Mus musculus: one gene and its partner. The protein of the gene in region 1 purifies or fractionates together with the protein of each later gene. This does not show direct contact. Links are inferred from orthologs where the notes say so. Each region holds a gene or a part of one and is shown in the gene's direction. Other genes may lie near its edges. The genes, in order: Snap25 and Stx12.

Region 1 (3,876 bases):
TCAGTACTGTCCTAGCCACCTTCCCCCCACCCCCACCCCCGGATGTCTGGACACGTTCTAAGAAACCCGAATACCGCTCTAGGCCCAGACTGCAAATTCAACCCGCCACAGAGTCATCTATAAGCCCCGGGCAAACAACTCGCAACTCAAAGCCCTAGCCCTGCAAACCCAAGCTAATAGGGCTAACTAGCTTCCCTCTCCCTTTCCCCAACTCAGGTGTTATCTCGGTGATAATTGCTCTGACGTACTTTAAAAGAAAGTGTGAGCCTTTCCCAAACTGGCCATGATTAAATGAGAACTCTAAACCTGCAATGCTGCTTTAATACAATAATTTTCATAAAAATAGCAATGTGAGTAACCTGGTCACGAAAGGAGCTGGTGAGAGCGAGAGCTGAGGGGAATGCCTCTTCGGACCCTCTTCTCTGGAGAAAATAAATCACAACAGAAATCTATGCCAATCCCTCACATCATTACCCTTCTATTCCTTTACCTTCCTCTCGTGTCTGTGACTCAACCAAAGACAAATCATCAGGGGAACGTTTTACATATAAATATGTATATGTTTACATTATTATAATTGTATATACATTCCAAACACACGTATTTACATACATATATTCACATATGCATGCACACGTAAGCAAACGCATAGGCCATCAGGAAAACAGTCGCAAGAAATATGTATTTCCCAAGACGGTGCTAAAATGGAGTCAAAAGAATCGCTCCATTTGGGTGTTTATAAAAGATTGAAATAAAAAGGGTTGCTGCAAAGCGCTCAGGGAGCTGAGTCAAGCGCTCCGCACCTCCCGGCTCCTCCCCTACCGCCCCCAGCCACCTTCCTCCCTCCGCCCTCCCCCATCACACTTCCTCCCCGCCCCTCGAGGAGCCGGCTATTAAAAGCTGCTGACGTCAAAGGAACGGCCATCTTTGATGAGGGCAGAGCTCACGTTGCATTGAAGAAGAAACCTCGGGGAGGTCTGGAGCTGTCTTTCCTTCCCTCCCTACCCGGCGGCTCCTCCACTCTTGCTACCTGCAGGGATCAGCGGACAGCATCCTCCGGAGAAGACAAGGTAAAGAGCCCCCTCCCCCGATCCAGGTCCTAGCCCTGTATGGCTGCATACACAGAAGGGACTGCAGCTGGCAGCCCAAGTGAGCCTGGGTAAATACAAGTATTGGTGCACTTAGGGTGCGGTATTCCCTGTGTGCATATCTACCTAGACTCTCGCCTGGGGCTGCATAAAAGTATTTTCGAGGTGAGCTGTTTGGAGAAGGAGTGAATGGGGACACTACAGATGGAGTGGTGGGAAGAAATAGCGAGGATGTGTACAGAATAATAACTTACTCTTTTGAAGCAGCCGTGGGACCCTCTTCCATCTTGCGATGCAGTTTTGAGATATGTTTAGGTTATTAGGATTGTGGGGTTTTTTTTCTACCTGTAGTCTAAAATTTAAAAGCAAAACACGATCTTGTAGTTCGTTCCAACCCTATGATTATGACTGTAGTGTTTAGGGCACTGCTACCCAAGGGAGATGAGAAGGCAGGGTGTGGGCGCTGGGGAGGCGAAAGGAGAAGGGGGGCAGTTCCCTCCCTGGGCAAGCTGAGCTGCGGCAGCGGCAGCGGCAGCAGCCTCCATGCCCCACAGACTTGATTTATGCCGCCTGCCCCAAGTCAGCTACAGGCGAGCATGTGCTGCAAAGTGGGAGAGCTCTGGAGGTTTGGTGCGGTGGGCTAGACTAGTGGGGGTGCGATGGCGGGAGCTCAGCACCCTGGACAGGAGTGCTCGGCGCCCGCGTCGGCGCCCTGACCTTTCAGCACCGCGGACAGCGATCCGGCTGCAGCGCCGCATTACCTGCTGCAGAGATGCCTGGCTGGGACTAGAGGCCAAATTTTCTCTCTGAGATCCAGGTCTTATAGAAAGTCTTAATAGAGCTCGCATAGTAGATTAAAAGAAAGACAGAAGAATAAATCCTGTCAGCAGGGATTTATTTACAGACAATTGCCTGCTCTCTTCCTCACTTCCCACGTAGCTTCAAGAAAAAGCAGACTACTTGTAGAAGCCTTCTGTATTTCTTCCTGTGCCTTGGTTTAGACAAAAACAAAACAACAAAACAAAACAAAACCATACTTTTAAAAACGGTCACTTATCCTCCATTACGACATATATACTGTAATTTTTTGTATTTAACACAGGGTAGATATATCCGTTGATATTAGGTGGGCTCCAGTGGGCTTATAAGATGATGCTAGTACTATCTATTTATAGGACAGTTCCTTCCCTGTGTTTTTTTTTAATATGGGTTATCTGAACTAGTTTCTGGAATAAATCCCTTTGTCACTTTTCCTTTATTCTTAAAACTAGGTAGAAACAAGCATACACAGCCAAAAGAAAAATTTCAATATCTTTGGCTGTGGTTTTGGAGTTAGTGCATTTCATATTAACATTGGATATGGCAGATTGATTGCTGTAGATGTTGACGTTAAGAATGGTCATCCTTGGGAGAAGTTAAACATGTCCTTCAGGGTTATGAATCGGCTGAAGCAGGAATCTGACCCCCAAGATTCACTGCAATTTCTATTATGGCACTGCAGGATTTTGCTGAGGTCATGATAACTATTTTCTTCTCTGAGGCTTAGAGACTCCGCATGAGCAAAAATTGTCATGATGATAAATATCTGTTTGATTTAGAGTCTCATAATTGTCATGAATGTATCAAGACTAAAATGATATGCTTTCCACAGTTGTTAAATGAGAATAACAGCTTCATATATAAGGATGTATATAATGCATTAAAGACATGCTAGCATGAACCCTTTTAAAGACCTCCTCCCAAAGGTCTTGAATTGTGTTCATTTAGTTATAACTCCAATCATCTGTCTCCCAAAGATACTAAAATTCTCTATTAAAAAGAGTTATTTTATCCCCAGCTATTTATTTGTGGGTTCTCTTTATAAAAATCATGTGTTTCCATGTATGTATATGCTGGCATATTATTGTGTGTAGATGTAAGTTGATCTCAGTGGAAATTCATTCCAGATTATTTAGCTGCATGGGAGTTTATAACTCTGAAATCTTCAGATATAATAAACAACTACGTTTCATTGATGGGAGGTGGAGGGGGGGGGGAGTATGGGGAGGAGTCTTATTTAAATGCTTTGCTGTTATAGTGCAAATCCAGACAGTTCTGCGCAGTTGCGTCAAATGCAAAGCCTAATGCTGCCTGAATTATGTGCTTGAACGTTAGTAATTACTGCTAGGTTTGCTGGATAGTGGAAGATGAAGGAAGGGGGCATAGCATTGCAGTAAAGCTGGCTAAGGTGCCGAGGTGGGAAAAAGAGGCAATATGAGTATTTATATAGCTGAATATATAGGAAAGTTAGCTGAGAAAATAAAAAGAAATGTACCTGTGACGTAGATTTAACATTTTTGTCATGGAAAATCTTCAGAAGGAAAAATAATAAGATGGTTTTTCTTCGTTTTAAAAATCCAGGACAATGTGATGAAGGAGGTGGGAGCAGAGAGGCATATGGAGAATCCAGGAAACATTCCTGCAGATGGTGGGATGGAACCTGCTTGTTTGTTTATTGTTGTTTTCCACATTTAGCATTCTCAGCACAAAATAATGTACAATTTCTACAATCTTTTCATGGTGCAATATCCCTAGAATTGATAATTTAACCTTTACTTTATAAAGCTTTCACAGCTCTAAGGCAAGCTGTCCCTTAATTTGTTAGATGATATTCCTAAACTCTAAAGTTAACCCTGCAGTAAAGGTTATCAGCTGAACAATTGATTTCTCCTCCAATGACGCCTAGCAACTGCATAGCAGCTGGCCTTCAGGAGAACTGTTGGCTTTGACCATTGTAGAAATAAAAACA
Region 2 (3,815 bases), on another chromosome or scaffold:
AGTCAGTGCTCTTAATTGCTGAGCCATCTCTCCAGCCCCTCCTTTTTTTTCCTTTTTTTTTTAAAATAAGTTATGATATAGGAAAATAAACTATTTTAAAAATACAGTATTGGCTGGGCAGTGGAGGTACATGCCTTGGGAGGCATAGGTGGGTGGATTTCTATGAGTTTAATGACAGCCTGGTTTACAGATGGAGTTCCAGGACAACCAGGGCTGCACAGAAAAACCCTGTCTTGCAAAATCATTAAAAAAAGAAGAGTCAGAGGAGGAGGAAGAGGAAGAGGAAGAGGAAAAAGAAGAAGAAGAAGAAGAAGAAGAAGAAGAAGAAGAAGAAGAAGAAGAAGAAGAAGAAGAAGAAGAAGAAGAAGAAGAAGAGCAGGAGAGGAAGAAGACATTATTTAAGTCAGATCTGTAGCTCAGAGCAAGTTCTCAGTTTATAGTTTTGAGAGAGATTAGTATAGTGAAGATAGCCTGTAAGTAAATAAAGTTGTGGTTTTTTTTTTTTAAGTTCTTGAAAATTTTAAAACTCAAAAAGAAAAGCTGTAAAGAATAATGGTAATTTTGAGGAAAACTAATTACTTAGTATAGGAAAATGGCTCCAATACCCTCCCTTAAAAAAAAATTAGATGCACTGAGCTCAAAATTCTTTACTATGCATTTAGATTCTCCAGGGACCAAATATTCCAAATTGCGATTCCTTTTGAGTATTGAGGTAAATGCATGTAGCCCCAAGTTTATCAGCGTGCTCTGACCTGGGCCGTAGGGCTAGCTGGGACTGTAATTCAGGAAGGAAACAAACAGCATTTAAGGAAAAGCCGATTTTGTAATAACTTTTGTACTTTGAAATCTCTAAAGTGTGCAATTGTGCTTTTAATCAGTATTAAACCAAATAGTTCTGAGTTCACTTGAGAGTTCAAGTTCTTGTTTACTTTGTTCAGCGCCAGCAGAAGCTTCAGAAGGAGCGGCTCATGAATGACTTCTCGTCGGCCTTAAACAATTTCCAGGTTGTGCAGAGAAAGGTATCTGAGAAGGAAAAGGAGAGCATCGCGAGAGCGAGAGCCGGATCTCGTCTTTCTGTAAGTTCCTTCCCAAGAGAAGGCCTTTAGCAGCCCAGAGGGTGCAGCCCAGCACGCCTCCTGTCTCCACCAGATACCGTGCTTTGTGTTCTCGGTCCAACTGAAAGGCAGATTCACCTTCTCCTATTTCGTATTTGTTTCTTACTCAAGACAGATTGCCAGAGTGTCACTTATAGATGTGGTCGGAGCGGAGGCTGTCACTCCTTAGTACTGTAGCCAAGGCAGCTCTTATTTTGTGTATCTCTGGCATGTTTTTGGATAACAGCAGCTACAACCATCTGTTTTCTAGGCAGAAGACAGGCAGAGAGAAGAGCAGCTCGTCTCATTTGACAGGTAAAAGGTCACTCATCCAACATGCTGGATAGTTACTGTGAGTCCACGCCTTTGTGTCTATTTTTCTTTTCTTCTCTCTCTCTCTCTCTCTCTCTCTCGCTCTCTCTCTCACACACTCTTTCTTTCTTTCTTTCTTCTTTTCTTTTTTGTATGTTTGTGGAGGTTTTACTTGCATGTAATTCTGTGTACCATGTGTATGCCTGGTGCCCACAAAGGCCAGAAGAGAGCTTTAGATCCCTTGAAACTGGAGTTTCAGATAGCTGTGAGCTACCATGTAAGTGCTGGGAATCAAACCTGGGTCCTCTGTAAGAGCAACCAGTGATCTTGACTGTTGAACTGTCTAGTCTCTTTGTGACTATTTTTACTTAAAAATTAAAAAAAAAAAGTCAGGGCTAGTTGTAGTGGCACATGCCTTTAATCCCAGCACTTGATAAGCAGAGGCGAGTGGATCTCTGAATTCAAAGCCAGCTTGGTTTACATAGTGAGTTCTAGGACAGCCAGAGCCACATAGTAAGAACCTATCTCAAAAAGAAAAAAGGAAAAGGAAAAAAAAAGAAAAAGGATCCGGGCGGTGGTGGCTCACGCCTGTAATCCCAGCACTCGGGAGGCAGAGGCAGGCGGATTTCTGAGTTCGAGGCCAGCCTGGTCTACAAAGTGAGTTCCAGGATAGCCAGGTCTACTCAGAAACCCTGTCTCGAAAAACCAAAAAAAAAAAAAAAAAAAAGAAAGAAAGAAAAAGAAAAGAAAGAAAAAGGAAAAGGAAAGGAAAGAAAGCATAAGTAAATAAGATCAGGATTTGAGCCAGGCATGTAGTGCATACCTGTAACCCTACCACTTTAGGGGATGAGGCAAGAAGATCAAGAGAATAGGAGGCAGCCAGGCTACATAGCTTGTCTGTCAAATAAGTAAATAAATAGAGTTGAAGAGATGACTTAGTGGTTAAGAACACTGGCTGCTTTGCAGAGGAACAGGCTCAGTTCCCAGTTCCTGTGGTGGCTCATAGCTGTCTGCAGTCCAGTCCCAGAGGATCCACTGCTGTCTTCTGGCTACCACGTGCCATGCCCAGCTCCATTTATTTTTTTTTTAAAGATTTATTTATTTTGTATATATGAGTACATTGTAGCTGTCTTCAGACACACCAGAAGAGGGCATCGGGTCCTATTACAGATGGTTGTGAGCCACCATGTGGTTGCTGGGAATTGAACTCAGGACCTCTGGAAGAGCAGTCAGTGCTCTTAACCATTGAGCCATCTCTCCAGCCCCCCAATTTTTTTTTAATTTAATAAATAGTACTATTTTTTTTGTAAGTGTACTCACAGCTATCTGAAACAACAGTTTCAAGGGATCCAAAGCTCTCTTCTGGCCTTGGTGGGCACCAGGCATACACATGGTACACAGAATTACCTGAAAAAAAAAATCAAGTTGCAAATATTTTATTAGCTTTTAGTTTGGTTTTCTCTCTCTTTTTTTTTTTAAAGGTTGATTTATTTATTATATGTAAGTACACTGTAGCTGTCTTCAGACACACCAGAAGACGACATCAGATCAGATTACAGATGGTTGTGAGCCACCATGTGGTTGCTGGGATTTGAACTCAGGACCTTTGGAAGAGCAGTCAGTGCTCTTAACCGCTGAGCCATCTCTCCAGCCCCCAGTTTGGTTTTCTCTTAAGTGGAGTCTTTTCCAAGAAAAGTCCTGGAGCCAGATGTGTTTCTGACAGATAAGCTGGTAAAACCCTGTTTGGTGGCTTAGTGTATTTTCCTCCCTTCACTGAGTGCCTCTGGTTCCAGCCCCACTTATACTTTGAGAGTCTCCTGGAAAGCTGAGTCTGTGTAATACATGGAGTCAAACCTCTGAAACCTCTGGATACTTCCTTTGTCTAGCAAATCCTAGCAAGACTGAAACAAACAAACAAACAAACAAGCCTAGGTGGAAAAGGCAGAGGTCTGTTCTCCACAATTCTGCCTCATCTCAGTTTTGCCTGTGGCTGAAGTTTTCTTTTCTTATCACATCTTTGCCTCTGGATGAGAATACGGCCCACGGGGATTTTGTACTGATAGCAGAAGAGTTGGGTCTTGAGTAGCATCTGCCTAGGTTCTGCTGTTAGCAGAGATGTAGTTATGTCTCCTCATACCTTAGAGAGAAGGAGTCAGCTGGAGTGCTTGTCTCCCTGTAGCCATGAAGAGTGGAACCAAATGCAGAGCCAGGAGGAAGAGGCGGCCATCACTGAGCAAGACCTGGAACTCATCAAAGAGAGGGAAACGGCGATTCGGCAGCTGGAGGTGAGAGGCAGGCTATGGCTTTTATTTGGCTCAAGTGTCTGCATATATTAGGGAAAAAATATTTTTTTGCCAGATTTATATGAAAAGGGCTGTGTTAAGTCTTTGTGTGTTTGTGTTTTTTTTT

The links.
Region 2: the proteins of Snap25 (region 1) and Stx12 purify together in Homo sapiens (co-immunoprecipitation; 3 studies listed by BioGRID and IntAct, with this or other methods). This does not show direct contact. The link is inferred for Mus musculus from reciprocal best matches to the Homo sapiens genes SNAP25 and STX12.

The regions. Positions count from the first base shown.
Region 1 is NC_000068.7:136,712,531-136,716,406, forward strand, and holds the start of Snap25 (synaptosomal-associated protein 25), read left to right. Parts: upstream 1-919; 5' UTR 920-1,070; intron 1,071-1,112; exon of another isoform or gene 1,113-1,253; intron 1,254-1,342; exon of another isoform or gene 1,343-1,808; intron 1,809-3,876.
Region 2 is NC_000070.6:132,860,420-132,864,234, reverse strand, and holds part of Stx12 (syntaxin-12), read left to right. Parts: intron 1-938; coding exon 939-1,076; intron 1,077-1,365; coding exon 1,366-1,409; intron 1,410-3,585; coding exon 3,586-3,691; intron 3,692-3,815. UniProt on the Homo sapiens protein: SNARE promoting fusion of transport vesicles with target membranes. Together with SNARE STX6, promotes movement of vesicles from endosomes to the cell membrane, and may therefore function in the endocytic recycling pathway.